2 linked regions of the Lytechinus pictus genome follow. The protein of the gene in region 1 purifies or fractionates together with the protein of each later gene. This does not show direct contact. Links are inferred from orthologs where the notes say so. Each region holds a gene or a part of one and is shown on either strand. Other genes may lie near its edges.

Evidence for each region.
Region 2: the proteins of FACT complex subunit SPT16-like (region 1) and DNA topoisomerase I, mitochondrial-like fractionate together in Homo sapiens (co-fractionation; 3 studies listed by BioGRID and IntAct, with this or other methods). This does not show direct contact. The link is inferred for Lytechinus pictus from reciprocal best matches to the Homo sapiens genes SUPT16H and TOP1.

Annotation. Positions count from the first base shown.
Region 1 is NC_087246.1:61,409,340-61,426,505, reverse strand, and holds the start of FACT complex subunit SPT16-like, read left to right. Parts: upstream 1-9,643; 5' UTR 9,644-10,146; coding exon 10,147-10,215; intron 10,216-17,166. Other genes in the region: ATP-dependent RNA helicase DDX1-like, read right to left, coding at 603-686, 1,568-1,654, 2,247-2,294, 3,125-3,218, 4,021-4,050, 5,014-5,077, 5,666-5,717, 7,867-7,882. UniProt on the Homo sapiens protein: Component of the FACT complex, a general chromatin factor that acts to reorganize nucleosomes. The FACT complex is involved in multiple processes that require DNA as a template such as mRNA elongation, DNA replication and DNA repair.
Region 2 is NC_087246.1:63,385,076-63,402,032, reverse strand, and holds the start of DNA topoisomerase I, mitochondrial-like, read right to left. Parts: upstream 7,655-16,957; 5' UTR 7,538-7,654; coding exon 7,529-7,537; intron 5,228-7,528; coding exon 5,206-5,227; intron 4,369-5,205; coding exon 3,738-4,368; intron 3,364-3,737; coding exon 3,294-3,363; intron 1,623-3,293; coding exon 1,495-1,622; intron 1-1,494. UniProt on the Homo sapiens protein: Releases the supercoiling and torsional tension of DNA introduced during the DNA replication and transcription by transiently cleaving and rejoining one strand of the DNA duplex.

The sequences.
Region 1 (17,166 bases):
GTGAAGGATTTTAGAGAAAAAGTAGAAAAAGAAGGAAAACAGAGAAAAAAAAGAGGAATAGATATGTGGGGCCTAACTAATTGTAGCATGAAAAAATAATTTTGAAAATTGTCATGGATGATGAGTGAAACTAATACCACAATCTAATCTAAATAATATCATTATATGCGTGACATTCAGCCGACAGGGTACCAAGATATTTGGTACTAAAAGATATGACAAAATTTATGACTGCTACCCCCCTGTCATAACTTTTGTCATATCTTTTGCTTGTATAAACGGATTACGTGCGCATTAAAGCCGTGTGTTTTTGGTGCGCGCTAAAGAGAAGAGACAAAATTTATGACAATTTTTGTGACAAAAGTTATGACATCCACCAGAATACCGATTTTGTCATATCTCTGAGATAAGATAAAATATGGAGAAAAGACAATGTTCAGAATACCGCCCCTGGTTATTTAGACAAGCTTTCAAGTAAAAATAAAATTCTTCCCTCTCTTTGATGTGTTTCTTTTTCTTTCCTTTTCTTAAGTGCCCCATGAGCATCTTCTTATGATGGATACCAGCACATTACAAATGTACACATTCAATGATTTATTTACCAAGATTCAAGTCAGCTTTGTCAGTAGCCCATCCAACTCTGCAAAGTCCTTCATCTGTCACTTCAGCCTCATAATAGTACTTTCCTACAAACACACACACAAATTTTGTTCAGGAAAAAAAATATACCATCTTCTAAAAGAATTCTATCTTATATACTTCTGTATATTCTACAAAATTGGAATATGGTAGTCAAATTAGTGAAAATGAACAAAGTAATGAGCTGAAGATTATCTCATTGTTTAGATATCAAATTAACAGAGTATGCACAAAATGAAAGTGATCAAATGATCAGTTGTGTTAATTACGCCTTTCAAACCCAAAGTCTAAAGAGGTAATATTGACCCCCACCTCCATAAAAAAATTGGTGCAAAAAAAGGCCCATTTAAAGTGGATCCAAGAATGTGCATTGTAAGCTTTTGATCAGGTAGCCCATGTTTACAAAAGTTTAGACCTCGCCCATGGTTTAAAAGGGAAGTAAACCCTGACGAAATATTGGTTTTAATGAAAGGAAGAAAATATTGGTGAAGGCTTGGAAAAATTAATCACACACTAAGAGTTTTTGAATTTTTAAAATCTTTAATTTCTGACTTCATATGCAAGCAGCTTCCAAATAAATCATGTAATATAAATTCCATGTTTTTTTAAATGGAGCATGATGAATTAAAATTTTGCTTATAGAAAGTGGTATGAAGTAATGTCTCTGATGATATTTCCACCCAGCAAATGAAATCTCCACCCAGCAAATGAAATCACTTTCATTTTTTTAGAAAATGGCATTTTGGGGAATTTATATGAGATGAGAAGCTGCTTGTCTGTGATGTCAGAAAGTTCATAACTCTCATTATTTTTTGACAGATTTTCATCAAATATTCATTGATATTTTCTCTAATTTTTCTGCTCTGTAATAAGACCAACTTCCCTGTAAGAAACATTCTATATGAATTCAAGCTTTTACATTTCTTACCTTTACCACTGACACCCTTATTAGCCCTGGTACCATGCCATGATTGCATCTCTCGACTTTGACACAGCAAACCTTCTTTATCAATAGCTGTAAATGAAATAATGAAATAAATTTAATGAAAAATATGTAAGAATGTGTAATTTTAGTAGTTTCAACCCTTGGTTTTCAATCAGAGAGTCACAGATTCGAATCCCAGTCATGGAAGAAATGCATCCACCCCTTTGTGATATGCAGTTAACCAAGGTGTAGTAAATGGGTACCTGGCAGGAATATCCATTCCTTGAAATGACTGTGCGATTGGATGACAGCAAGTAAGGGTAATGATAGTACTTACCATCATGAGCACTCGCAGAGTAGACATGGTTGCTGTGTTTGTGTGTGTGTGCATTGTGTTCAGGTCTTCTTGCATATAGCCATGTGCATGCATGATAACAAGTACATTGGAAACGCAATAGTCGCTTTGACAAGGCCATTCACCAGTTTTATTAATAATTAATAAACAAATAATATTGAAGTTAGTCAGCACTTTATTTTGGGGTTCAAATTTGAATCATTAAAAAAAGGCAGCAGGTGTTACAAGGGCCGGTTGTGTTTGTAAAATAGTTTTGTATATAATGCTGCTTACAATACCTTTGACAATAAAGCATTGATGATAGAAATTAAAATTCAATTTTCTTACCCATTGCATCTCCTCTGTCATAAACATTCATCTTCCAAGAGCTGGATTCTAATAACAATCAAAAGAAAATATATTTGTAAATTAAACATCAATATATTTTGTGCTTGTTTTAAGGGTAATGCAAATAAAACAATAACACATTCCAAATAATTTTTTTTTCGTAGTTCTTAACCATAGGTATCATCGTCCATGGATACTAGATTGAGTAATTACACAGACAGAACAATTCACCACATCTTGAAATCACAACGTCCTGTAAAAAGAAAATTTATCAGACAAGCGGAGGATGATTTTCTGGTAAATTGCTGATTATTTTACACCCACTTCATATATGTTCTGTTTGGTCTACAGTACTACAAGGCAAATTCATCAATAACCAGTTTGTCTTCTTACCAAGGGAAGTGAGTGACGGCAAATGAAATTAGCTGAAATTGCAAAAGCTCCTACAACCTTTGTACAGATTAAGTACACAAAAACCTAAAAATAAGTTAAATTGAAGAAAAAAAATCTGAAATCTACTAAAAAAGATTAACTCTCAGACCCCTGTTACCATGCCTATTTACCATTTTGTCTAATTTCAAGTTGGGCTATACCCATGTTGGTTAATACCCACTTGGGTTGGGCCTAATAGTTTTCAAATTTTCAATTGAGAAAGTAAAATATAAGGATCCCATTCCACAGGATGGAGACCTTTGCAAGACCAATGAAAGACTAAACACTAGCAAAGTCTTCCAGCATTTTCCATGATCACTTATATTTGTGGTATCTGAGGAATGGCTCTGAAACCCCCTAAAAGAACTCTGAGAGAGTTATGGTATCAGACTATCTAAGAAACCAACTGTTTGTGGACCAAGTGATTATGACACTGATTTGCTTACCCATGCTAACAGAAGCAGTGGATTCCTTTGTCTTTCCTTCAGCCTTGTCTCTCAGTGTTTCATGGACAATTTGGATGACTGGTAGACAGAACGCCTAGTAGCAGGAGAATTAAAACACAAATAAGTAGACCTTGCATCTTTCATATTGGGGCCTACTCTATAAATATTGGTTACTTTGCCATCCAATGGTAAACAAATAATGAATGTTTATGAGTTCAATAGACAAATACAAATAATCCTTTCAAAGATGAGTAGCAGAGATGAATGGATCACTCATTTCATCTTTCACCGAATGAAGTACTCTGTCCATTGCACGAATGAAAAGAATATTCATTATTTGTTTTATATGCCATCTAAAAATAGATCCTTGTCATCTAAAATATATGAATTTGGATGCATAAGAGCATGCAGTGCAAGCATGGGCTGTTCAATTGTCGCATACACATGCAGCAAACGCGAGTGCTGGTGGTCTCGGAGAGCATGCAAAGGTCAAATCGTATGGATCCAAAATTGCAGGATTGATGATGTCATTGTAAAACGGGCTGAATGATCAATATCAACTTATCAAGTGACAGGGACCTATCTAGGTGTCATAATAACTCCTGTGGAATACTTTATACCATGGCCATGAAGAATAGCATCGCTTGAATTGGTAACTTACCCAGAATGCAAATTTTTGCATAACTTTGTACTAACAAGAGAAATAACAAATTGCAATACCCACTTAAATCTCTAACATTCATACCACAACCATGCTGCAAAGGGACTTGGATTACAGAATACCTCAAACCAAATCACTGTCCTTAAAGTAAGATGTGAGATCAATACAGGAAACAGCGGCATGAAAAATACAATTAAATCATGATGAAATTGACCGTCTACAAGTATTAGCTTACCCCAGTTTTTCCACTTCCAGTTTCAGCAGCCTATCGAATAAACAAGAGAAAAAGTGAAAATGTTTATACATCAAATCAAATAAGACAATTCAATCTTCAATGCAACAAGTCAGGTGTGGCAAGTAAAGGTACTCCTTGTTTTTGTTTATTGGGCACCCCTGAAAGCCTATATCAGACCTTACCCTGAAAACAGCACCAATAAGCAATCAAATCATAAAAAAATAAACATTTATTCAGAGTGTCATTGTTTTATTCCTAATAGAATTGAAATTTGTTTGATCTTTCCATATCTCTACATCAATCTTTTTAAAATGAATTCATCTTTTTATTCTTTTATCATTTTTATTAAAAGTATTCTTAATTTTTCATTAAACTGTTTGGGACCATGAATTATTCAAATCTTTACTTGATCAGCTTTTATTATCCAAATTGGCATTATTTTTTTTTCTTTTTACTTTCATTGCAGTTATAACTATCTTTCTTTTATATTGTTTATTTAGCCTTCCCAAATACATATGTGCATAAAAATTTGAAAATATCGCTAGAGGGTATTCATTTGTCTCGCAATCTACTATGGTCAACAAGGAAATTCGTGATCACTCTCACAAAAAGTGTTCACTAGCTTTCTAGGAAATTCGTGATCACTCTCGCAAAAAGTGTTCACTAGCTTACAAGTTCACGAATTTCCCAGAAAGCTAGTGAACACTTTTTGTGAGAGTGATCACGAATATCCTTGTTGACCATAGTAGATTGCGAGACAAATGAATACCCTCTAGCGATTATTTCAGTCCGCAATAATGAACCTATTTAGTATTTGAAAATATGTTTCAAAATGAGAAAATTGCCAATCTGCATACAGAGACAACGATTTTGCCACTCCCAATTAAGTTGCCAAGCAAATATTTTGATTTTTTAAATTACTTTTGGCACATAGGCATTTATCAATGTGATCCACCCCACCAAGGCTATGTTACTCTAAGGTTTCATTCATACCATAAGAACATCTCCACCCCCGAGGATGAGAGGAATGGCTTCAGCCTGAACATCAGTAGGCAACCTATGATGAAAAAAAAAAGAATAAAAAATACAATACTCAGCTGGAAATCCATCCTGAAATGAAATAGGGTTTTATTAAAATGAAAGTTAATTTGTCCAGAAAATATGATTCTCTATTTCATTTGTTTATTTACCGTTTGCACAATTCTTCATTTTTGTATCATTTCAAAGATCAGCCCCTCCTTTTAAAATAAAATATCAACATTCTTTTGTCCAGGGGTGGGGGGGTTAGGGTTTCCATTTTAAAGTTGTTTGTGAAGTTAATTCACAGCTTTACAAGTGATTCATGTCACAATTAAATATTTTTCTCAGTTGACATTTTTAATCTCATTTGCCAAAGTTGGCACGTATGGTAAATAAAAAATGAGAAGAATAAACAAGCATTTTCAACGTACAACAACAAAATTTGCCATAAAAGGTAACATTCTTGTATCAATATGTTTGGAATTTAAAAAAAAATCATGTTTATCACAATATCTCTGAGTCAGACCATTTCATTTAGGGCTTTATATTTTATCATTCAGAAAATAATAAAGTAAAAAAACTTTACAAATTATAGAGCCTGATGAATTTCCCCTAATATACTTACAGCCATCCCATTTCATCCACAGCCTGAGTGATCTCAGGGAGACAACCAAATTCTGAAGAAAAAAAAGACAAAGCCATGCTTGATAAGTTCTGGAATACAGAATGGTACTCTAACCCTTGGGAAATGACAGGACAAGAATGATTGTAAATATGCATTATGTACACTGGACACTGACATATGTATTAAACCTTGTAGATGAAAGAAAGAACTTGGATGGAATTAAGCTGGACCTGAAAAATACCTCCAGTAATAAGACAAATCAATTAGAATTTAGATGCAATATTGTACTTTTCTTGGCTTACCAGAATTCCAGTATTACTTATAAGAATATGATGATTCAACAAATGCATAAGTGTAATCTTAAGACTTCTCATGACTATAAGAAATTAAAAACATTCAAATCAAATGTGTGAAGTCAACTCTCACTCGATCTCAGGAGTCCCACCTGAGTCAGTGTGCATTGATATTCATGCATTGTTATTTTGGTTTTATTAATGCAGCCCTTTCATCTCAATCAAATAAGCTGGCGCTTGAGGCCTCTGGTATCACACTGCATTTGGCTAGACTTTCTTATGTCCCTCTAATAAAATTGTGCTTTCACAACATATTGCCACAGGGTGTCACTGCCAGCTAACTCCGCACTTGCAATGTTTTCTATGGCATGATTTCAATTTATTTGTGTATCTGCACAGGGTTAGATTTTGGATAATTAGGGTTAGGTTTTACGATGGACTTCGGCAGTTATTTGACATGGCCAAGTTTTCTCAGGTGTTGAGTTGACCTGGACCTGTGTCACAGACATGACAGACATGATTAATGTGCTCAAGGCTATGAATGAACTTCGGACACTAATACACATCATGCATTGGCCTGTGACCATTTAGATGGATTGCACCATCTTGTGTGTTGGCCGCTGATAAATGCCCCTTTTAAGATACGGACGCTTGCGTCGCGTAACGTTGGGGAAGAACAATAGAAAACAAGATGGCGGCGTAAACATCGGGCAAGTCTCTTCCGTCTATTCATGATATTTTCTTCATTTTTTTAAATGAATTCTTGTCTCGAAATAAAATCCATGGCGTAGAAATGTCGGAAATGAAGTTGTATCCCATGTACTAGACCAAAAGCTTCGGTCTCTGTTATGTTGGTTGTTCAGCTGAACTCCGTTGGCTTCATGCACTCACCAAATACAGAGACCGAAGTTCTAGCGCGATCTGTACAGGAGACTCAATGGCCATATGTTTATGTACTTAAGATCGGATAAAACGGGGAAGTGAATTTGCGCGACAGCCGAGGTAAGTCACTGTTTTTGTTCCTTTTAACTCGATTTTTCTCCGTTTCTTGGCAATTAATGCCAAGAGGGAATATCAATTTGCATTTTGGTCGCATTAATTTTCAAAATTTTTATTGATTAAAGACAAAAATTGAAGAGCCCCGATGGGGGGATTTTGCATTGCAAGTCCCCTAATGGTGGCTGCACGCTAGCGAGCCGTCTGTGTATGAGGAGAACTTAAAAAAAAAAATGTTAAAAAACTCCTCAAAACAGACGGCTGCCAGCTGTCTACCCATGTACATACATGATTTAGGGCTAGATCTTTTAGAAAGAAAGTAGAAATCTCGGGGGCGAAAGTTTCAGGTTTTTTGGTGGTACACACAAAAGTATAGGAAGGAAGACCTGGCTTCGTATGAGAGTAACCTTACGTTAGTAAATGATTTTTACTCTCTAGAAGCCTCCTGGCTACCCCCGCCCCCGGGTCTCCCAATATTGGCCGTACGCCTCAGTCTAACTTGTTACTGCTTAGCTTAGCTTAGTTTAGAGCCAAATTATAATAATGAACTAGTAGAAACTGACAGTGTTAAATAATCTGGCATTCATCCCTAAGCAAGAACAAGAGAAAAAACATAGCCTGCCATATTTCATCACTAAACAAAAAAACTGCCGAGCCCGAGGATCTCCGCGAAACTGCCCGGGCAGGGCCATGCGCTAGCGGTGCCAGCCCGGGTCTGGATGCCGTCGAGACTCGAGCGCCGGCCGTCGCGTCGGCGACAACGCGACACCCAGCTCACCCCTACCGGTACTTATCTCCGATTATTAATCATGATCAGCAATTGTTCCCTAACTGTAAGAGCCCAAATACATATCAAAATTATATATCCAGACAATGCAAACTAAAAAAAACCAATAAATTATATCGATCTACCTGCAAAGGCAGTCATTGTTCACGTGTTGGCGGAGCCGGAGTCAAAGTTGACGTTGAATGATCCTTCGCCATAGTGCAGGGGCCTGTTGCATGACGAGATGAGCGATACGTAGGAACGTCCTAGGACCATTCTTCCGAGATAGGAAGATTGGCGACAAATCAGCGCTTTCCGTTTCACGAAGGCAATTTTGTCTTTCAAGTCCGCGACATCGTTTGATATCGATAGTATCGGAAAAATATTTAGTCTTCATCGTCACCTGAACCTTTTATTTCGGAATGACGACTTGTCATAAAATCATATATTTCAATAAAAGGGGATCAAATAATGTTTTATTTATTACTGATTGTAGAATTGATGTATGGAGCGTACTTTATGAGGTAAAAAGAGAAAAAACTTTCAAGATTCACAAACATAACTGGATAAAATCGAAATTTTCATTATTTCACTTATTTAGAACACGGTGTCCTTTTAGAGACACCTTTCATTGATATTTCAACGAAAGAGACCCTTGTCCGACATAAAAATTGATTTAACTAAGTAATTTCGACATTTTATTAGTTCAATATACTGATTTATTATAGAAAACATATATATAATGATGATTTTGCAAATTATGCGTTAATATGTTATCTGTTGAGGTAAAAATAGGGTTTGAATGGAGTAAACAAAATCAACAGTGTCTGATTGTATGAGACTAAAAAGGAAAATATGAGAGGCTGCGTGTGAAAAATCTAATTTATTTATTTTATTTGTCAGATATAACGCAAGAAATACAAATGTGAGTGTTTAGAGTATAAACATACCTCAGTTGCATGATGAGTAACCGAAGACAAGGAAAATATGAAAATTGCTGCAAACATGTCCAAGTGGATAAAGTAGTGCTTTGCAATAACAATTAAAACATAGAAAAAGGTGTGCAATCCGCAATGGAAAAAATACTATTTACAGAAATAATGATAATATTACAATGATCATAAACGTTGGTAATCTTTAAAGTTGATCACTTAATTTATGGAAGCTTATATAAGAATAAGGTTTAAGAATATAAAAAATATATATGTTCAACATTTCAAAGTTGAGGAGTAGAGAATACATTATTGCTTTAACATTTTAGTAGGGGCCTAAAGGGGCCTACTCAAAGGGCCTACCCTAAAGTGAAAACGCGCCTCTTTGTATGGACTCATTTCCATAATCTTTTCTTTAATGAACTAGCTTATCTTCATTTGTAATTATTGTGATGGATTCGTAAGCTATAGGCCTAATCTCTATCTTAAATTCAATTAGGTATTTTGTTACTGCAGATTTTTTGTTTTGTTTCACTGTTTCAGTACATCTCAAGTTAAGCCCAAATCCGACAATTTATTTTCATTGATTAAAATTAATCTCAGCAAAAAAAAAATCATAATGAAAATGAAATAAAAATAAATGAATGATTTACCATGTTAAACATTTTAGTTTTGTATCTTTTTTTTTTGCTGAACGTTATAAACACGTTTTTTACCTTACATAATTTCTTTTAAAGAAATTTGTTTTCATGTTGTTTAATTATCTGTAATGAGAAAGCATGAGGGGTTAGAGAGATAGTGCCGCCCATTTCGATATTTCAAAAAAAAAATAATGGAAATGGTGTGGGGATAGGACGGACCATAAAAGAAAAAAATATTGGGGCCTACATTACCCCCGGACATATAAAGCCCGGAGAAGTTAAAATGACATCTGTTTTTGGTCGTCTTGCCGTGCAAAAAGACGACCTGCAATTAATGACAACTAGCCCCCATATAAAAAATAACTTGGCGCCATCCCAGATAAAATGCATCAGTGTGCAACCCAAAAAAATGTTTAAAGGTGATATGTCAGTGTGGCTTGCCGTAAACGCATTTTCTCTCAATGCCGACGGTGGCGGGCGGTGTGCAAAGAAGATCATGCCTACGTAGGACATGTCTGGAGGTGTCTTTCCAAGGACCATTCTTCGTATCGCCCAAATCGGCTTTGTGAAACAGTTGAGCGATATCTCGTTCTTACGTAGAATGGTTCTACGAAAGACCATTTCATGCAACAGGCCCCAGTAGCACGTCACTGAGCTAGCTGAGCTAGCGCTAGCTGACAAGACTGTCATCAATATTGGCTGTAGGTGGCGCGCTAGCAATTTTGGCGCGCTACACTTTTTGGATGCACGCACATTACATGATCAAAGGATTCTTTCAGGAAGAATTTTTCTTTTGCGAGGATTTGTAGGAAAATTTTCATTTCATACTCTGTTAAGCAGATGTTGTGCTAGTATGGCGAACATTGCGGTCGATAAAGATGCATTCTACCGGCGAATGAAGAAAATATACGATGAATGGGAGGTATGTTCATGGACATTCATTTTCTAATTTTAATTTTTAACTTGAAATTAGAAGGCCATTACCATGCCTTAGTGTGCTATTTTTTGTGTACACAAAGTGAATTGGGCATATCACGTTTCCTTGAAATTGAATAGAGGCTTTACTTCAATCATAACCTGGCAATTAACTCATAGCAAAATCTCCATACCAGTCACATTTGAAGAATTACATAATAAATTACAATTCACTGACTGTCATTCCCTTGTCTGTTGTCACGACGTCAGAGCAGTGTGTGTGTACTGTGACCTAGTCCTAGAGTAGAGGCTGTGTCTGTGTCTGTGACAGTGTCTGTGTTGAGACGCAGGGCCAGGGTGACCAGACGTCCCGTATTTCCCGGGATCGTCTCGTATTTCCCGGGATCGTCCCGTATTTCCCCCTGTTTCCCTTCGTCCCGCCAAACCCTTCTCGGGATGCCTGTTTGTCCTGTATTTCAGAATATTGAACAAAGTATAATTAATCATGTTATACATAGAAAAGTGAAGAATATTCATCAAATAACCAAACAGATGATGAAGCAGAGATAACGATAAAATCGATAACTGTTAACTTTTGCAAGTTCTACAGTGATTTTCTTGCTACCCAATAGCACTCACACGTATTGCGAGGTTAGTATTAAGTATACTAACCTCGCACCACGAACCGCGTTTGGCAGTGGATTTCTAACTAGTGGGTCGCGTGTGCTGGGATCTCACTTCTTGGGTCCACAACACACGACTTCTATGGCTTGATTTTTCTGTGCGCGGCAGCATGTAATGAACCCTTGGGTGACCCAATAGTAATACATTGCAAACGAACTGGCCTGCCTGTGTGTGGCAGGCTACTATAGCTAGGCATGTTGGATCGGAGCAGATTCTCAATGGTGCAAATAAATCTCACATGATAAACAGTTTTTCCACCAAAATAATCACAAAATCGGCAGCAAATTTGTATAATTATATTATGGATTCTCAGATTACTGATTTCGTGATGTAATCGGAGGAGAAAATTATTGAGTTTTCATAACTAGATCTAGTTTTTTCAGTTTTCGTTTTGAGTCTTTTTGTGATCGGTGCGAACTTGTAATGGGATGAGATCATGAGAGATGCCTGAGGTGATGCTGTGAAGTTTGACAATGTTTTATTTTGAATTCTATTCATTTCTAAAACATTTTAGTTTTTAAATTTTTTTTTAAAATATATCATTTAAAAACCCAAAATATTAGATTTTTGTTAAAATGATTGGATTTTTTTGTTTGCTTGAAGTTTGAACTTTTCCCTTTTTTTTTCTTCATTTTTCTTTCTTTTCTATCCTTTCTTCACCCTTCTATCCTTCCTTTTTGCCTTTTTTGTTCCATCTATCTTTATTCCCAATCTTTCCTATCTTTTTCTGATCCTTTCTCTCTCTCTGTTCATTTGTCTTTCCTTCTTTCTCTTACTTTCCTAGTTTCCTTCTTTTTTAAAGTTCCTTATTTTTATTTCCTTCATTCTTTCTTTCCTTAAACTTTTCTTTGCTTCCTTCTATGCCTTCCTCCCCTTTTTCTTTTTGTTCTTTCTCTCCTTCCATTATTTTCTATCTTTTTTCATTCTCTCATCTTTTCAATCTTTCCTCCCTCTCTTTAATTCATCCTTTCTTTCTTTCATTCTTTATTTTATTTTTCCCTTCCAATTCTTTTCCCTTATTCTTTCTTTCCTCCCCTCCTGATTTCTTCTTCCATTGTTTCTTTCTTTCAAAGAATGAAGGAAACATTTTTCTTTCCTTCATTCTTTAATTCTTCCTCCTTTGTCTTACTTTCATTTTTCCTTTGATCTTTATTTTTTTTCACACATTAATTCCCTTTCTTTCTTTTTCTTTCTTTCTTTATTCATTTCAAAGAACGACGGAAACCTTTTTTCTTTCTTTTATTCTTTCTTTAATCCTTCTCTTATTCTAACTTTCTTTCTTTTAATTTTTTTCTTGTTTCCTTAATTTTCTTTACTTCATTTTCTCTTTCATTTTTTTCTTTCTTTCCTCTCAGTTAATCTCTTTTCTTTCTCTCCTTCATTCTTTCATTCACCCTCCCTTCCTTTTCTTTGTATTTTTTTTGCAAGTCTAACACTGTGTAGCCTTATTTGTTGATTTTTAAAAATTATTATTATGACCTGGCTCTTGTCGATTCGCTTGTGCAGCGTGCTTTGTCGATTGTTCCGTATTTCATTTTGTGAAATCTGGTCACCCTGTTGAGACGTGTTCTCAAAGTCAAACTTGAGTGAAAAGTCATGCCTGGTCCTGGGACTCTTGCATGTCTTGGCTGTCATTTGACGGTTCATCAAGTCATGGACTTGGAGCCTGGGCTGTGGCTGTGCTATCTAGAAAAACTACTCTGTAAAAATTAACATTGGCGGCCGGGGCCTTGGCTTAGGCATGAGCTTTGCCACATCACATGTTTGTGATTGTGAGCAGTGTCAGTGTGATTCACCTGTTTCTAACAGTAACACAGTGTTTTACCCAATCCTGTGTGTTTAGAGTATAAACATACCTGTGCATGAAAAGTAACCGAAGACAAGCAAAATATGAAATTGCTGCAAACATGTCAAGTGGGTAAAGTAGTGCTTTGCAATTATAAAACATAGAAAAATGTGTGAAATCAATCCTCCATGGAAAAAATACTATTTACAGAATCAATGTTAAAATGACATTGGTTAAGGTTGATAGCTTTAAGGAAGTTTATATAAGAACATAATGCTTCAAGAATATTTAAAAAAATATATGTTCAACATTTCAAAGTTAAGGAGTTGAGACGTACTTTATTGCCTTAACGTGACATAGGGCCTACCCTACGATTAAAATGCACCTTTTCGTATGGACTTTCCATAACCTTTTCTTTTATAGATACAATGAACTTATCTTCATTTGTAATGATTGTGATGGATTCGTAAGCTATAGGCCTAATCTAAATTCAATTAGCTATTTTTTTTACCGCAGTTTTTTTTTTGTTTCGAGTTCCAACAATTCCAACAATTTTCATTGATTAAAATTAATATCAGCAAAATATAAAAAATAATGATAATGAAAATGAATTAAGAAATAAATAAATGATTTAGCATGTTTAGTAACATCTTAGTTTTGTTATGTGTTTTTTTTTTGCTGAACGTTGTAATCATGTTTTCTTTACTATACATAATTTATTTATAAAAAAATTTGTTTTCATGTTGTTTATCTAATGATAAAGCATGAGGGGTCAGAGAGATTGCCTCCCATTTCAATATTTCATGTTTGGTTGAAAAAAAAACTGGAAAAGGGGTGGGGGAAAAGAGGGAGAAAATAAAAGAAAACATACCAAACAAAATTATTTGGGCCTACATGTAGATTACCCCGGAAAAGTTAAAATGACATCCGTTTTGGGTTGTCTTGCCATGCAAGACAACCTGAAATTGATGACAGCCCACATGGCGCCATCCCAGATAAAATGAATCAGAGTGCACTCAAAATCTCGAATGACCCCCCCCCAAAATGTTTAAAGATGATAGGTTGCTTGCCTCAAACGTATTTTCTCACAATGCCGATGATGGCGGGTGGTGTGCAAAGATTAAGAAGATCATGCCTACATAGGACATGTCTAGAGGTGTCTTTCCAAGGACCATTCTTTATATTGCCCAAAATCGGCTTTGTGAAACAGTTGAGCGATATCTCGTTCTTACGTAGAGCGGTACTACAAAACACCATTTCATGAAACAGGCCCCAGTAGATCTAACTTAAATCTACTCTAAAGAATATAAAGTTAAAGGAGAATGAAACTCTTGGAGCAAGTTAGCTTTTGTGAAAGCAGAATAATCAAAGAATAAGATCAACAAAAGTTTGAGTAAAATAGGACTAGCAATAGAAGAGTTATGAGCATTCGAATGTCGAGATCACTAATGCTATGGAGATCCTCCCATTGGCAATGCGACCAAGATCTATGATGTCACAGATGAACAACTCTCCCCTTTTGGACACTGAAAATGTACCCCAAAACATCTCTTTTTGCTCATTCTAATCATATGACAAACGATTCTTCAATGATATAATGTTGTGAAACCTCTGTACTTGTCCTCTCATAAAGAGGACACCTCACCTTGTGAAAGACTCTATAAAAGTGAGAATATAAGTAAAATAAGAACTAAAGTAATGAGGGAGTTGTACGTGTGTGACATCACAGATCTTGGTCTCATTGCCAATGAAAGGATCTACATGGCATTAGTGATCTCAATATTCAAATGCTCATAACTTTCTTATTATTCATTCAATCTTCCTCAAACTTTCAACAATATGTTTCTTTGATTTTTCACTTTGATATGGATCCAGCTGGTTTCAAGGGTTTCATTCTCCTTTAATGGTAATACTGTAACGTTAGACCTACAGGCACGCTGCACAGCCAGTGAATTGATAATAATAATGCAAACGTATTAGATCTAGATCTAATGACTAACAGTTAACAGGCCTGCCAACCCAACCAGTACGATTTTCCCGTATTGAGTACAATTTTTTGATTATTTACGGGCATACGATTTTTCTGTATTTTAATACGATTTTTCAAGTTAAAAGATATATATATTTTACGTTTAAAAAAAAAGGGTATTTGCGATTTTTGGCGTTCCATACTATAAAGCTCATTGGCACTGGCATAGATCGGAACTTCCACAAACTCACACGCTAATCGCCCACTCAGTCCCTGACGCCGCAAACAAACGGTCTGCTGCCATTTTGTGTCATAAAAACATGTGGCTGCTGTAATTGTTTTTCCAACATTATGTACATGGCTATGCATTGTGGGGTAGCAAGATGGCGGATAATGGTGATTGAGGTACGCACAATATCCATTCGAGTAGATAAGACTTTGGTGGTTGAAAGGGCGAAGCGTGAGTGCTGGCCTGGCTTAACACTTTGTGTTGTTTGCGGCTCATGTGTGTGGTGCATTTCATGGCGGTGTTTGCTTGAACTCTCAATATTTTCATCTCCGATAATGGATTCATACCAAAGAAAACGGAGAGTAACAGTGGCGATTCCTCTGAACCATCCAAAAAGATGGAGAATGAGCAGCAGTGATAAGTAAGTTTGTCAAAATGCAAACTCCCGGCCCAGTGGATTAGGCACTTGGGGATGTGCCTGCTAGTGCCTGGCCGGCCACTGCCTGCCCTGATGATCGCGCTGCACTGGTTCCGCGGCCGTGTTGTGCATAATGGAGTCTAGCGTTAGGCTAGCTACGCGTACGCTAGGCCCGTTTTGAAAGTCCATTTTTTATGCACGTGTACACGGCGTGTTTTTCGGTCGTGTACACGTTGTAAACAATGAGAGCGAGTTGTTTTCAGTGTTTCCGACATGTCGTCACGGACCCGCATCAACATGTCAATGTAACTTAAAAAGGGGTCTATATAGCCTAAGTCACGGTTTTGAAGCTTACCTGGGAAGTTATAGAAGTATCAATCCACAAAAATTGGTGCAATTAAAGAGTTTACTCAGCTTAGCAGCGCATTAAATTAATAAAGAATGCAAAAGAAAATCAGTGCAGGGCCCTAGCTAGCGCCGACGTTCGTTGGATGCGCATTTTGTATACTGTACCGTACATAAGTACATGCATGCACAGATCGCTGCAGAATTAAGTGTAACTGAAGTTATCGATTGATTTTCATTATTTTATGTGTACGAGTGTATAACACGTAACTGTAGCAGTGATCGCTGTTGTAATTGGTGATTCTCAAATTGGCTCTGAGTGTGATTGAGCAACGCTTTCGAGCTTTCGAGACCAGAGCAGACCCATTTCGTGGTACAAAAACTTGAGTCTCCAGAATGAATGTGGATTAAATCGGCGCTCTAGGTTAATTGAAATATATTGACATATCAGTGATTAAAACGTGTCCAGTGTCTGAGAACTAAGAATTAATGTGAGGCTGTGAGTAACTTAGCTGTGAGCTTGTTCACTGACTTTACAGTCCCATGCAAGCTTTATGCAGATGCTACCGTGTACACGGTGATGGAATTTAGTACACGTGCACTGACTTGACCGTGCGTGTACACGTGTACCCGAAACGGGCCTAGCGTACGCTAATATTTTGTTCAATGTTTCCTAATTTTTTTCAACCCAAATGAGAGTAAACAGTGTGAAAACGAAAGGATGGAGCGATCTGATGATGTGGAGCACAATCTTTTTTAAGGCAGTACTTGGTTTACTCTTCAGAATATTTTATTAAGATTTTGAAATGTCTTAACTTTGAAAGTAAAAAAGTTAGACTCTATATGGATCTGGTTCATGAAACTGGGACATTAGAGTAATCAATTATCAGTGATAATTTTGCATTTATATGAGTTTCAGGCCATCTGATTAAGGTCAAAGGTTATTTTAAGGTCAATTTTGAACATAATATTTTTATTGTATGATTTTATTATTATTTTTTTATTGGCATGTGTGGAGGAAATGGCCCCTTTTTAGCTTTAAAAAAAGTCCCTACCGTGGGAAGGGAGGACAATCCCCCCTTTGCGCGTTCGGCGCATTTTTTTTCTCTTTTAAGTACAGTTTTTTTGGGGAAAATGCAGTTTTTTTTTATCACAGAATACAATTTTTCATTCCCAGAGGTTGGCAGGTCTGAGTTAAACCTATTTTCAATAAAACTTTTAGAGACAATTTCCAATCCCAGTCATGCCAGTTTTTTTTGAATTTTTTGTTTGTTTGCATTTTTGCTGACAAGTTAAAGCTAAAAAACCCAATGCATTTCATTGGCAGCAATTGAAATTGCGATTAGCAGATTTCTCTTATGACCCACTTTCAAATTTCAATAGTATAGACCAGGGTTGGGCTCAATTACAAGGTAATTGATCAATAATGTAATTAATTACAAGTTTTTGAGTAATTATAATTGTACTTGAAATTTTGAAAGGGAAAGTAATTGTAATTGAAAAAAATATACATGTAAATGACTTAAA
Region 2 (16,957 bases), about 2.0 Mb from region 1:
CAATAGTCTCGCTCTGCTATGCATGTGAGACAAAAACGTTTTATATATGAATAATTATACTTTTATATTTATATATAGAAATACCTTAAGGTCAAGTCCACAACAGAAAAAAAAAAAAATTTAATCATAAGAATAAAATCAAACAAGCAAAACCAAGAAATTTTCATCAAAAGCGGATGTAAAATAAAAAAGTTCTGACACCTTAAATTTTCATTTATTTTTCACAAAATAATTATATGAACAACTCAGTTATATTTACGAATGACAGAGTTGATGACATCACTCACTTTTTCTTTTGTTTTTATTGTTTGAATTATACAATATTTCATTTTTTACAGATTTGACAATAAAGACCTGCTTGATTTCACTACAAAATGATTTAAAAAATGGATATTCCACATGTTCAGGAAGGAATAAAATTTTGTTCCATATGACACTCCTTAGAAAATTAGAATATTTTAAACAATAAATAAGTGGAGCGCCTCTGGCAGTCTCACCTGCATTACGCGATTCAATATAGCAGCACTGCGGACTTTGAAAACTACTATGAAATAATTATTCACAAAAAACACCATTCATATAATGATACAATACTACATGTATGTTCAATGACCCTAAATAATATTTGACATTGATCATGTGACCTAAGAATTGTCAGAGATACTTGATTACCCCTATGTCCACATTTCATAAACTATATCCATAAACTTTGAAAGTTATGACAGCAATTTAATATTTACCTCCAACATGGCCAAAGTTCATTGACCTTAAATGACCTTTGACTATGGTCATGTGACCTGAAACTCGCACGAGATGTTCAGTGATACTTGATTACTTTTGATTACTCTTCTGTCCAAGTTTTATGAACTAGATCCATACACTTTCAGAGTTATGATGGTTATTCAACAAATACCCCCACATGGCCAAAGATCATTGACCTTAAATGACCTTTGAATTGGTCATGTGACCTGAAACTCGCATAGGATGTTCAGTGATACTTGATTACTCTTATCACAATGTTTTATAAACTAGAACAATACGCTTTCAGAATTATGATGGTAATTCAACAGATACTCACAACATGGTCAAAGTTCATTGACCTTAAATGACCTTTGACCTTGGTCATGTGACCTGAAACTCACACAGGATGTTCAGTGATACTTGATTACTCTTATGTCCAAGTTATATGAATCAGATCCATAAACTTTCAAAGTTATGATGGTAATTCAACAAATACATGTACCCCCAACTTGGTCAAAGTTCATTGACCCTAAATGACCTTTGACCTTGGTCATGTGACCTGAAACTCAGGCAGAATGTTCAGTAATACTTGATTAACCTTATATCCAAGTTTCATGAACTAGGTCTATATACTTTCTAAGTTATGCTGTCATTTAAAAAACTTAACCTTAAGTTAAGATTTGATGTTGATTTGATGACTGATCTGAACAACAATCTATCTGCAATCTACTTGGTAATCAAGGACCAGCTTACCTTTCCGACAGGGGGACATCATCATCCTCCTCATCTTCATCCTCATCGTCTTCAGCATAATGTGGTCTCTTACTTGCTCTCCTAGACTCTGAGCGTTCTGATTTGATGCTATCATCAAATCGTTGGTTCTGTAAAATGGAAAAGGTAAAGGCTAAATGTATTTGTAATCAAGAGTGAAATGTCCTAGCAATATAAAACCTTGGTTCAGTTAATCGGTTTAACTACACTTTTATATATTTTGTAAAGTTTCATTAATAAAACTCAAATATATTTCAAATAAACAAATAAAGAAAATAAGTCCTCAAAATTTCCAGCTTTAAAAAAAAAAAATTCTTGCCTACTATGCAAAAAATCACTAAAAAAGGGACTGAACTTGTTGACATAAGACTAGTCAATAACAGACCTTCATTTTTGAGGAGCGCGATCGCGCCGGCGCTCCTACCGCGCTCCTTAAAAAAAATAAGGAGAGCAAAAAATCGCGCTCCTAAAAAAAAAAAAAAAAATGAAAAATGAAAAAAAAAATTGCTAAAATTTCACATTTCACATCTTTAAATCTATGAAATGGTCTTCTTTTTTCCATAATTCCTTGAAATTACTTTGATTTAGTTGAAAACTATCAGAAAAATTAAGAATATTCATCTCTTTCCCGACTCTGATTTTAATTTAAACTCGGTAAATATTTGCAGTCCCATATGTAGATTTTCATGGCAGCACCATGAAAGTCTACATGTGGGACTACAATATTTACCGAGGTAAGTTCAAATCAGAGTCGGGAAAGAGGTGAATATTCTTCATTTTTCTGATAGTTTTCAACTAAATCAAAGTAATTTCAAGGTATTATGGAAAAAAGAAGGCCATTTCATGGATTTAAAGATGTAAAATGAAAAATTTTAGCAATTTTTTTTTTTTTTTTTTTTCTTCAATTTTAAAAAAAAATTTTTTTTTTAGCAGTAGCGCATACGACATCTTGTAAACGTATTGACGTGACCCAGGCCTAGTTTCACCACAGATTAATTAATAGCTAACACAGCTACTGCATATATACAATGTTAAGAAAAATCTACAATTTATCATACATGTATTGTAATGAATTGATTTGAGCTCCTCACGGAGAGCGATTCTGAGGAGCTCAATTGAGCTCCTCAGAAAAATAAGGAGAGCGATTTATAGAGCTCCACGAAATTATAAACGTGAAGGACTGCAATAAGACATCAATTAAATTTGTACAGGTGCTACAAAAATGGTTTATTTTTAACATCAAAGGTAACATCCCACAAAAATATCAGGAGAGAAGTACATCGGCCTGCATTACATGTATCCTTTGTCAGAGTCAACTTGAACTTTGATCTGGGCTGTCCATGTAGGAATGCTACTGCTACTTTGCTTCACTTCAACTTCACATGAACTCCATCAATTGATTGTCATCATAAGTTCATAATAACTACACATATCATTCTATGCTGTAAATATATTTGCAGATTGGTATGAATAAATTATGAACGGATGAAAAGTACATCCATGTAAATTAGTGGAATGGAAAAGTCCATCCTAAGATCAAATTTATTTAAATTAAATGCAGAGAAATTAAGAAATTAAAAAATTGATGTGCACACTGGTAAACCTGCCATAAGCCCAATCATTCCTTGTATTGTAAGATTGTTCATGAGTTTTAAAAAAGGGCCTTTTTTATAAAGTAAAAGCAGCAGTTGAGTAATCTGTTTAATACTATCTGATAAACATTTTTGAACAACTTTTTGAGACAGATAGCAAAGTCAAATCCAAAGATATTCTAAACTTACCAAAGGTACATCTTCATCTTCATCCCCATCTTCTTCACTCAAAGATTCTTTTTTCACAGACTTCACAGGGCTGATGGAATGAGGATTTAAGAGATAAAATTTTGCAGTTCATTCATAAATGGCAAAACTGATACAATTTCAGAAGTATTCAATTAGCTGGAGTTGCATATCATGATGCTTAAAAATATGGATAGTATCCAACGCTCACAAGGAAGTAATTCTAACTTCTTGAAATACCTAAACTATAATGCCTTAAACCTAGCAAAAATCCATAGGCTTCAGGGCTACAAAACTTGCTTGAATCCAAACCTCTTCATCCTTTATACCCAACAAAAGTCCAAAGTCCCATGTCAACATATCATTTATTCAAGAATTTGATTCTTTATAAAACTAATTCATGATTCAAAATTAAAAATAAACTGGAAATGAAAAGGTCAAGTCTACCTTGTTTCCTTCTTGATGTGTTTCTCAGGACTCTTAATTTCTTCTTTAATTCTAGGTGGACTGGCAACTTCTTCTTTTATCTCAGGCTTCTCCCTCTTGATCTCGACCTTTGGCTTGGATGAAGAAGAATGTTTGGAATTGTGCTTTGAAGAAGAAAACTCTTTATGCTTTGAGTTGATGTCTTTGGATGAGGCCAATTTCTCTTTTGGGCGCATACTGGAGCTACTCGGCTTGGGTGCCTCTTTAGGCCTTCCGTCTTCTTTTGACTTGCTAATGCTATCATTGTGCGATGGCTTCTGCGGTGGTTTATCTGGTCTGGATGAATTTGATGTCGGTTTGGGTGGTGGGGATCCAGAATTCGGCCGGCTGGAATGTGAACTATTATTCTGCTTTGGGGCTGAGGATGAGGTCGGAGGCTTCATCTTAAACTTGCGGCCATCAGGCATAACCTTGATCTTGCTCCCGTCTGGCATTGTTTTAATCTTGGTGCCATCACTGAGCAATATGACCTTGACGGCCCCTTCTTTCGACTTGGAACTGGGCTTGGCATTAGGGTCTTTATGCTTCGAGCTGGAAGTGTTATGACTATTTGATAATGGTTTCTTGGCTGGGCTGCTGCTAGAATGGTTGTCTAAATGGAAAAAAAATCGACAAAATATGAATTCAATGTTGAATGGGTCAAAGAAAGCAGTTTCTGATTTGAATGATTCAGTCTGCTTCTTTAACTACATTGTCAAAGTCAGCTTCAGAATCTAATTAGGTGATCTGTCGATCGACATATTATTTTTCCGCCCTTTTCTTGATAGCACAAAATCTCAAAATCTGCATCATCAATTTTCTTCAAATTTTCATCAGTAATGGGGACTTATCATGTGAGGTTTATAAAACAAGTTCAAGGTCAAAAGGTCATCATGATGCCATTTTGTAAAATCACATTATCAATCATATCTTCATTATCAATTATAAAAAATTAACCATATTCTCATGACATTAACTTCAGGTCAAGGGTCAACTGTCCATTTCATCAAAGGTCATTTAAAGGTTATGCACGCACGTCAAAATTTTAAAATGCTCAAAATCACTTTTTTGACCAAAGTAGAGTATGAATCATGTCATTTTAAGCATTTCAAAAAATTGCGCGCGTGCGTAACGGCACTATACAACATAGAATTGCCACTTTTTTCAGATCAAAGCATCAAAAGATAATTCTGAGCAATTTGATACTTTGATCAACCTTCTACAACAAATAATAACGGAATTAGCCTCCATAAAAATTTACAGCATGCACACGCTAAACATAGATAATATATGTGCAAAAACATGCACATGTTTTGTTCTCATATGAACAAAATATATTGTCATGAAATTGGTATCATTTTAAATTCAGTATATAAAATTGTCTTATTTCATAATTTATAAGTTACTTTCTCATGATCAACAAAGGACAAATGATACTTTTTTTACTTACCAGACTTTATTTTGTCCACTTTCTGTAACAAGAAAATAAAAACAAAGGAAACAATAAAAATATCAAATATACATGGAATTAGCAAAAAATAAAAAAAAATAAAAAGAATGCAGGCCCCACAAAATTCAGGTGAAGGTTTTCTGGAAATTAATTGTGAGTCATGTTGATTGCTGACTAACAAATGGTTATAAATTTAAGGTTATAATTCAAATTTATGAATTATAATTCTATCAGTTTTGTCAAAGATAAATTAAAAATAAAACCCCAAATTATAAAACATATGATAGGGTAACCATAATTTGTGCACATTTAAAAAAGTTGATTTTCAATCAAAAATTTCTCAGTTCACACAAAATTAATCAAAATAATAAATACCAAATGGAAGGCAAGATCAAATTCACTTGACAGAATTATAAAGTACCGTAGGTCAAGGGTTTTGCTGGTATCGCGATCTGAAAATTCCATGGCGATCGACTAATGCGCTCGGCTGAAAAACTATCATAAAAAAGTGTGACCTTAATTTGCGCATGATCGTTTTGCAAAGCTTTAGAAAGAAATCAACTGAACAAAGGTAAGATTTTGTATCAGATAGAAGTTGAAATTATTTATTTTTAAATCATGATTTCCATTGAAACATGTACAAATGATATGACTTTTTTTATTTGTGCCAGTTTGATTTTTTTTACTCAAAATAGACAGATTTTTTATATCATTAAAACATGAATAAATCCTTCATATCTACGTACTTGAAATCAAGTAGTAGTAAATGAAATGGAAGTTAATCTTGCAATGTAGCAATGTTTCTTCCAAAGAAACTAATCCTCATTTCATGTTAAGAGTTTTGAATAGGAACACTAACTTTGCAGTATAGCTGTACGAAGACGGTTCCTCAACTACCAGTCAGTAGGAGCTAAATACTCTACACGAGATGATGCTGAAAACAGCATCTTCATTACGACTTACATATTCTTATCTATTTTGACTAGATTTAATTTTAAATAGTTCAGAATAATTTTAGTAGTGAAATGTACGATTTTAGAAATGTATTTTTATTTTTTGCACTTTGTTTTTAAAAAAATTGTTAAAAAAAAAAATCTGATTTAGACTTATTTTATGTAGGCCTAAATAAAAAAAAATCTGATTTAAATCATACAAATCTGATTTTTTTTTTTAATTAAAAAAAATTGCCAACCCTGATTTTGGGTCTCTCTTTCCGTTGCTGTTGATATCAGTTTTTCAAGATATTAGATATTGAGATATTTGACTGTGCGCAAAATTAGGTATATTTGTAACACGCGAATTAAGGTCACAAAACCATAATTGGAAAAAAAAAATACATCAGCCATCAAGCAAAGGCAAATAATATTTAAATTAAAAAAAAAAATTTTGAAATTGACAAGACAGATCTAGATCTAGTAGTAGTACATGTAGTAGAATAGATCTATGTATTTGAGAAACTTACAATCAAACTCAACATCTGTTCCATAAAAAAAATGGTCAGTGATTGATTTCAATCAGACGTCAACAATTCTTAATTCATTACCAGTCCAAGACTCCAAATTCTAACTTTAATAGTGTAAAAAGAAGACTTAATTTGAACTGTTTAACTGTTACAAATAAAATAAAATCTTTAAATTCTTTCAATTTCACCATTTCATTTGAGGACTTTCTTTTAAAAAAAGGTAAGTTTTTTACTTAACAACATGGTAATGCTAATGCCAGTAATGGGTTCACCATTCATATTTGAAGACCACAACCAGCACTCAAAAATATTATTCACATTCATTAGAATTCATCAAATTAAAATCTTCAAGTTGGACATGAATGTCACTTTAAATTTACGTCACACACCACTCCACAGTGCAGTACCGGTACTGGTACAGTTCATAGAAAGCATGTGAAAAGCGGAACATCTCAAATGACGTATGGGCCAAACACCGGGCATACAGATTAGAGCGGTCACGTTGATCAAGCCGCCGACTTCGTGCACACACCACACCATACACACGCATGCCATTCATGTACAAAGCATATGGAGCAAGCCAAAAAAATTACTAAGTACGGTACGGAGAGCTTATCGCCCTGTGTGCAATGATATAGGGCGAACGCAAAAATAACTAAGTACGAAGCACAACTGTGTGCATTTCAATGGCGAAGCGTTCCTTTCGACCTCGAACAAAAACTAACACATGTGTGATGTAGAGGCGGCAGCCGTATTAACACACTGATTCCACATAAAAACCATCTCAATCCACATACACTAATATTCCAATTCACGCTATGACACTAACACCACAAAATAGAGTAAAATGTGCGAACTTACCGAACTCATTTTGGTGATTCTTTGTCTAACCAATTTCCACGTTATGGCGGATGAGGATCGCAGAAAAATGGCTAAGTATCGAACTTTTTTCAGAGCGCATGCGCGTGGTCTAAAAAATGCCCGGATGATCCGGCCAAGTCTTGGAAACGACTCGTTTCAACTTGCTTTGTTCATCTATATTTGTTTTCTTTTCAAAATAGATGTATCATGTAGTAGTACGCTAGCGTACAGTTGAGATTAAGGGGGAGGGGAAGGGTTAGGGTTAAAAAAAAACACGACCATGCAAGAAAAAAAAAGAGGGAAGGGTGAAATATTTTCTGACTTAGGGCCAATGTCAAAGTCGATCATAATAATTTGTAATACTGAAATATCGAAATTTGTGCTAGCTCACTTGCAACTTTTTATACATTTTGCCCGATACGCCATATCTGCATGGCCCCCTCAAAACTTGGTGCCAGGCATAAATGGCAGAGGTAAAAATGGCATAGGTAAAAATGACCCGTTCCATTAAGGACCCCCGTTTTCACAAGCATTTGTAGTTCAAAAGCCCGTTCCGAGGACCCTCCTTTTTACAATAAGTCCGCTCCAAGGCCCCCGGTTTTTGTCTCGCCGGCGGCACACACCTACCAATTTTTTGGTCGAGTACCCCCCCCCCCGGGGGGGGGGGCAGAGGTATATTGTCAGAGGTAAAAATGGCAGAGGTAAAATGGCAGAGGTAATAATGGCAGAGGTAAAAATGGCAGAGGTAAAATGACTGAGGTAAAGATCATGACATATGCTACATCAACAAGGAAAAGACAGAGCCTTTCCAGTTAATATCAGTCATAATGCATTGGCCTTGAATGGACTCCTATATATCGACGGAATGAGCATTATGAACTGATAAGATATTATTTAGATTTTTTATTCATTTTAGGTCAGCTTTATCGTTGATATGATTAAATTCAACAATTGTCATGCCAAAATGATTTCAATTAGTGAGTAATGAAAGGATTTATCTTGGCCATTTCGTAGAGTAGAACAGCACTTCATCACATATTACCAAACGAATTTTAATGTAAACACCAAATGTGCGCTACCACGCATCAGGCGTGCCGGAACACTTTCACTTTTAGGGGGGCAAAAATATTGTGCCCCCTTCGGAAGGGGGCACAATATTTTTGACAGCGTGAGATACCGAAGCGATCGAGCGGGAGAGGGTGTGGGACCCCCCCCAACGGTCGACTTTGTGTAAAAATGGAGTATAAAAGTTGCGTTTCTATAATTAGAGCATTCAAAAATAAATTTCTTGAGAATTAAACATAGATTTCACTAAATATTAATTTATGAGAACTTTCGCGCAAAACGATCGCTTCGGAATGTGGTTTTCATGTCTGATCAATTAAATTACGTATTACGCTTATATTGACTCAAAATACCAGAAATTACATTTTTCATGCAATATCCTTTCAGAAACATTTATTTATGTACATTTACATACACGGACGACATTATTTTATCCAATAATCCAACAACTCAAGCCTCTTTAACTCTTTATCCTTTTCTGTTTTACAGGGTTCTAGGACAACTACCCCCTGGACAATCACCCCCCGGAAAACTACCCCCCGGACAATTCCCCCCTGAGGACAATTACCCCCCGGACAATTACCCCCCCCCCGAGGACAACTACCCCCCGAGGACAATTACCCCCCGGACAATTACCCCCGGACAACTACCCCCCGGACAACTACGTACCCCCGGACAACTACGTACCCCCGGACAACTACCTCCCCGGACAACTACCCCCCCCCCCCGGACAACTACCCCCCAGACAACTACCCCCCCCCGGACAACTACCCCCCGGACAACTACCCCCGGACAACTACCCCCCGGACAACTACCCCCCGGACAACTACCCCCGGACAATTACCCCCGGGACAATTACCCCCGGACAACTACCCCCTGGACAATTACCCCCCGGACAACTACCCCCCGGACAATTACCTTCAGAAAATCCCCCCTTCTCTCCAGCATCAATTTTAGAATTAAGCAGGACCCATTGTAAGTTTTGGTCGGTGGCACAGGTTTCCGAAATATTTTCTACTTTACCTTACGTTAATAACTTTTTCTTTCTCTTTTATATTGCTCTTTCTCCTGTTCTCTCACTTTCTTCTTTTTTCCTTTTTTGTTTTTGTTTAGCGGCGCCTTCTGCATCATGAAAAATGGGGGGGGGGGGGGCTCGCACCCGAAACCTCCCGTTTGGCTATGCATATATACATCAGAAAATTTGTAAACTGGCCCTCATTCTAAGTTTTCATATAACAATTGAACACGATTAGTTATAATAATCACAAATGCTGAATATCTCTGATTCCAACTGATCTGATTTTTTTTAAATATTTATTTTGGGTTTAATTTCAGGAAAGAAATCAGGCAAATAGATAAAACGTAAAAAAGACACCTTCATAGGTAGAAATATTGAAAGTCGATAACACAACTATCAACACTAACACTGTCAAGTAGACCTATAAATCTGTTATTTTAAAACAGTTCAACTAACAAGAAGTTAAGAATTATGAAACAATTGGTGCACATTCCAGATTAAGATGTGGCTTTATAACTTAATACAGTAAGCTAAAAAACTTTATGCAAAGATAATACACACAAGAACACCTGGTAAATTACAAAATGTTTTTGTGTGTATTATTCTTGGGTGAAAGCAATTAAACATTAAAGAAGGAAATTAAGTACCAAATTTACTAAATTGTAAACAATATGACATAATCAAATACAGTGTTTTTTCTATACAAATTGGCAATCATGATAGTATATAATTCGTTTAAGGTGCATTTTAAGGACGGTTTGTAAGAATTTATAAAGAAGTAGGCCTATGCAAATAAAATAATGCGACCGAGCAGCGTGAGCTGAAAATATTAATATTTAGACCATAAAACGGACATTTTACAGAGCACTTGAAAAATCAATTTGTAAATTTAAAAATAATGAAAGCTCGATATCCGAGATGAAATATGTTATGTGTATTGACTTCGAAACTTGATATTTTAAGCTCCATTTCAGCCTATATTGAGCAAGATATTAATCTCATCGAAAAAGCAATGCGAGCGCGAAGCGCGAGCGGAAAATACTTGATGTTCCGGTATGAAAATGGTGAATTTGAGTACTATCTAAAGCATTGTGTAGGGAAATTGTGAAGTGGATGTGGAAAGCACTTAATAAATGATGCGAGTGTGAAGCGCGAGCTGATATCTTCATTATTATTTTGACCTAGGACCTGGACATTCTAGGTCTAAGGACATTTCGTCATCATATGAAAATGATGACAACTTTCTTATTCCTCTTCCTGAGCGCGATATGAAACATATGAAACTGTGATATTGTCGATATTCTTTTCTGAAAAGGGACAATGTAGTCATTAAGAATTCATGAAAATGTTATTATCATATTTATTAATGTAATAAGCCTAAATGAGTGAGTAAAATGTGTTGACACTGAGGCCTGAAAACTGGATATTTTAAGCACTTTTGTAATCTTGAATAGGATTTGTGACTTGATATATTTTTAACAAAAATGCGAGCGCAAATCGTGAGACGAAATTTTTGGTAAACTGTCATAAAAGGGGGGTTTTAAGTAGTTTGTTATATAATTTGGCAAATCAAATAATGCGAGCGCATAGCGCAAGCTGCAAGTTATATTCACACCATAAAACGGACATTAAACAGAGCACTTAAAAATTTGCCCTTTGTCTAGGGGGTAATTGTCCGGGGGGGTAGTTGTCCGGGGGTAATTGTCCGGGGGTAGTTGTCCGGGGGTAATTGTCCGGGGGGTAGTTGTCCTGGGGGGCGTTTCATGAAAGGACTTGTCGGACGTTTTATCCGACAGTTACCATAGGAACAGTGCCTCCCAGCCAATCAAAATCATGGAAAGATGTCAGATCTGACAACTTGTCGGTGAAAATATTGATGAAACCATGGACATGATGAAACACTCCCCTGATACCGTTTTACAGTCATTTTCAGAACTACACAAATTGATAGGCGAGAAATTGGAAGATTGAGACTAGACTAGAGTATGACGACCTTGAGATGTTATGGTTTCTGGGCTTGACAGCTATAGGCCTAGGGCCTATGACATAGATTCCATATGTTGCTCGAGTAAAACCCCCGTCACACTAGAGGCGGAATGAGCCGGAATGCCGTCGGAATGAAAATTCTTGGTACATTCCTGGATATTCGAAGCGCATTCTAAAAATTCTGACTGCATTCTGAGTGCATTCCAGACATTCGGGTCCATTCTTGTGACCGTCCCGAATGTTTTGCTCATGTTCAAAACTTTCGAAGTGCATCCGAAGTGGAGAAATATCGAACGACATTCAAAGTGCATTCTGACTGCTCTCTGACTGCATTCTAAATATTCTTGCTGCATTCTAACAGCATTCTTAATATTCTTCCTGTGTTCCGACTGTATTCGAGCTGCATTCGACAGTCAATACACCCGAATGTGCAAGAATCATTAGAGGCGGGATCAAAGGACGTTCTAAGTATTTTAACGACATTTTTGCAAAAGTAGCGAAAATTTCAAATTCCCTCCCGAATGTGGCACGAATTTTGAAAGTTCTTCATTCCGGCTGGTTCTGCCCGATTCCTGCTGATTCCGAATAAGTGTGACGGGGGTATAACTAGCGTTCACGCGCGTTAGTGGGTCCGGTCTGAGCGTTTCCGGGTGGGCGACCGCGCGTACAGCCAGCACGCATTGGTGAACCACTTTCAATTTGCCATTCGGTTTTAGTCTGAAATGTATTCATTAAAAGGTTAAAGGTATTGTTTAACTTTGTGAGCAGCCGATTTAAAAAATTCTCAAACCAAGATGAAACATGTGTACAAGTGCATGTATTAGAACTAATAAACCCTGAAAACAACCATTATTGAGAATGAAAAGCTAAAATTACAAGGCAAACCCCGATTTTGTAAATAGGCGTCTTATAGACGCCTAAATAGTACACATAAGTGTATGGGATGAAATTAAGATGGTGTTTTCGGTCACTTTATATTTCAATTTTTGAAGCACTAATTAATTATTTTCAAACGCAATTTTTTCTGGGCTTCATTTTTGTAACATATCACAGACACAGGTGACAAGTGTGACCTTCTAGCTCAGATTTTTTAAAGTCAAACCAATGTTAACCAATCACTTTAAACGTTATCACACTGTGATAAGATGGAAAAGGGGCTTATCAAAGGTATGTTTCACAGAGGGACATGTTCGTCAAAAGACGCAAGGCTTATACTTATGATATGTAATTGCCCCGTCAGGGGCGAAATTTTTTCATTTTTGACAATAGAAATGACAATTTTTAGGCAGAAAAGTGCCTTCATCATTTACTTTTGTCCTTAAATAATTTATCATTTTTCTACTTTTAGGGGGGCACATTGGGGTGGGGGCAAAATCTCGTTTTGCCCCATCAAAATTTTATTTAGGGGGGGGGGCAAGTGCCCCCCCCCCGCTTCCGGCGCCCTTGGCTACCATTAACACACTGAAATAGACAAGTTCGGGATTTCTTCGAACCACTTGCAATACTTGGATAACAGAAAAATAACAAAACGATCTGTAATAAAAGTTATTTGTTATATTTTAACATCATAATGGATCCGAATAGATATTGATATGATACGTATATAAACCCCTCAAAAAAAGTTTGGAAATCTGAGTTTGGCCATTAATTTCTCCCAACTCCCAATTTTACACAATGCATATTTGACATCATTCAAAAGATAATTTAATTCTCTTTAGAATGATACCATGCTAGTTATGATCATACCATCACGGAAAGAGCAGGATTCAAAAGTGTTGGATGAGGGGGATTAGGTCTGAATTGGAAAGCTGCAAAACGAGCAAAAAATAGTTTGGAAATCTTAGTTTGGCCATTAATTTCTCCCAACTCCCAATTTTACACATTGCATATTTGATATCATTTAAAAGATCATTTAATTTTCTTTAAAATGATACCATGCTTGTTATGATCATGCCATCATGAAAAGAGCAGGATTCAAAAGTGTTGGATAAGGTCTGAATTGAAAAGCTGCAAAACGAGCAGAAATAGTCATGAATGGTCAATACAGAACATGATTCTTTTGTCTGTGTCAATAGAGATGAAAATCCATTCAAATCAAGCCCCTGCTTCTTCATTTTTTATGTTTTGTTGTGGTTTATGTAGTGATGGTTCTGTGAGATAACATGGTTTGAGTCGTGGTTTGAAATACCCATGCATGTTTGTTTGTTTGTTTGTTATGTGTTTGCTCATGCAGAGGTGTGATAAGGTGCATGTAAACAATTAAAAGAAACCGGTGAGAAAACTCACTCATCACCTAGGAAAAAAGGAACAGTGACTTTCAATATTGTGTCAGTTTGCAACTTTTGAATTTTGACCTTGCCCCACTTTTCAAGGCACTGCACCTCCATGTGAACCATAATCATATCATGTAGGGTATCATTTTAAAGAGAATTTAATGATCTATTTATTAATATTTCTTACACATTGATATTTACAAAAACCGAGGAGGGATTATTGATCAAAGTCATATTTCCAAACTTTTTTTAAGGAGTTAAGTTTAATGTAAATGATATAATAATAGCAATTAGTGTTCAATTTTTCAGAGCAATACCTCATTGCAGCTAGTCCAGTGAATGTCAGGTTCCTAAACTAGTTTCTATGGTAACAGTTACCGCATGAATTTGGAAATGTGTAGCGAATCAAGGATTTTATTTCAAATTTATAGGCTTTTCTTAGGTACCATTCTATCGACCTATTTTAAAAGGGAAATTCACCCTGACAAATGATTTACTGTAAAAATAGCAGAAAAAATTATTGGTGAAGGTTTACGGAAAACTCATCAAACATTCAGAAAGTTATTAGAAGTTTGAGTTTTTGATCTGTGACGTCATATACGTATAATACGAGCAGCTGTCCTGTATTTTGTGCACCATACCGTATACTTTTCAAATTTTTAATCAGTGGTTCATGACTGCTAAACAGTCTTTCAGGAGCGGATGTGAAATGATTTGTATGTATACTACAATAATTATTTAGAGGGGTCCACACAATACAAGCACTGCTTTTAAGTGGATCCCTCCATTTTCTCAGAATTTTATTTTATAATGATATTTTGCTAATTTAAAATACTTTGTTTTGTTTTACTTATGTAAAAATATAATAAATTGTACATGCCTCAATTTATATTGTCTGTATATAAGTTCATTGAAATTATTTCGACCACTTTACTTTGTTCTGTTGAAAATGAAATAAATTGAAATAAAAAAAAATTGAAAAACAATAGAAACCATTTTCATTTTTTAAAATGACATTTCATTTATACTTTTCATTACACCATATATGGAAAAAAAACTGCTCGCAAATGACATCACCATTGAAATATAAATTCTAATAGCTTTTTAAATCTTTGATGAATTCCTTTAAACCCTAACCAATATCATTTTAATTATTTTTTGCTATTTTTACAATGAATTTTATGTCAGGGTGAATTTTCCCCTTTAATGAACTAAGTAGAATACTTGGGATCCAAAGTGTGCTTCAAATTTGAATATTAGAAGAGCGATTTGACATGAGAAGGTTGTGCATGTAAGTCCAGGAATAAATTAAGAAAAACCAACTCAGGTGTTATCAATTTTGGTGCAGAAAATCTACAGTATGACTTAAAAATGTTGCCCTTTCCATTAGTCAAACATTATAACTCTAATTTTATTCTCAGAACCTTTCTTATTTTATCTACTGTATACATGGAGGGGCTTTGGGGTTTTTGGCATGGGGGTTTAAGACTGGCCATTTATATACCTCTGCCATTTTTACACCGAGCCCAAAACTTTTGGCTCATTACAGCTGTCAGCCCCCCCCCCCCCGGAGAGGGAGAATAACATAACCAGTATAGGCCTTCAACGGCATCGTAATCATCCCCCACACACTTTTATCTAGAAAGAAACAATATTTCTTTTATAAAGTGCAGTCAAACTCGGTTTAATTTGTTAAATTTTGCATTCTAAGAACGCAGACTTCCTCGATCCGCTCCAGCTCTCAATCTTAAAAGTAATTTTGCCATGCAAGCCTCCCTAGAGATTTAGGCCTATGGCAAAGATTATATCCGCTGCATCATGAGAGTATGGTTATAATTTTGAATTGCATATGATTTTATCCCGGGGGTTCCAATAACTTTTTAATCTGCTAATAACTTTGATCATAAACCAATAAAACCCCACTGGCGTGAATGAAACCGGGGAATGAAAATCGAAATGGGGGGGGGGGGGGTGTCATATCTTGGCATCTATGTGGAAGCAGGGATATTTTTTTGTACAAAAACAGGTATAGCTATTCGATACCGTCAATCAAACATGTAAGGTCAGAAACAATCCCTACAGTCAGTTCATTGGCAGATCATAATTCGCACGGTTTATCTTGATTTATTTGAATCTGAATTTGTAAAAGTCCTCATATTGATTATCCGTTTTTACATAATTATTTTCGTTGTTTTTGTTTCTGTCTTTTTCTTTCCGCTTTGTTTCTGTTTTGTTTTAGTTTACTTTATTGTGATTTCTTATTCTTTGTATTGTTTGGATATTACATGCACAGCCTTTAAGAAGAAGAAGAAGAAGGAAAACAGAGAGAGAGAGAGAGAGAAAGTTAAAGCCTAATATCGGGAGAGCGGAGAGGGGGGGGGGGGTAGCATGTATACTTGTTTAAGTCGCTAGAAGGGCGAAACGAATCTAGACAAATATTGCTTGATGAAAATCCAACCAATAACGGACTTATGAAATTTTAATGTTTCACTTTGTTACGTCACAAACGCGCAATAATATTATATTATACTATTACCCGAAATTTCAATTTTGTCAAAAAATTGTAGGCCTAACGGTTATTTATAATGCAGATATCATCAAACTCATAATTTCATACCCTCTTATTTCTATAAGGAAGAAGAAGAGGAAGGAGGAGGAGAAAATGATGGATAGAAAGGAGAGAGAGATAACAACGAGGGAGAAAATAGGAATATAATGTCTACTAGTAGCTAGCAGGGCGATAAGGTATGTTCCCGGCTCAAGTCGGAGTGACACCAATGAACACGGTTTTCAGGTCCAAATTATAAAAAGCGAAGAAGAAGAAAGAGGAGGAAGAAGGCATTTATTTTGATGCTCATACTGCAGTAGAGAAAAGAAAATTGGGAAACATATTTAAGAGTTGTAATTTACTGGGGAGAAAGGGACGTAATCATATCCCCATCACCCCCCCCCCCTCTTTAGCCAACATAAAATATCTCTAATTTTCTTAATGTTTTCATGCACACCAAAACAGTTTCTGACCGTTTACCAGGATTATCAATGTATCATGTGGAAAATGCAGTTTTCATTCCTTGAAATATAAACCAG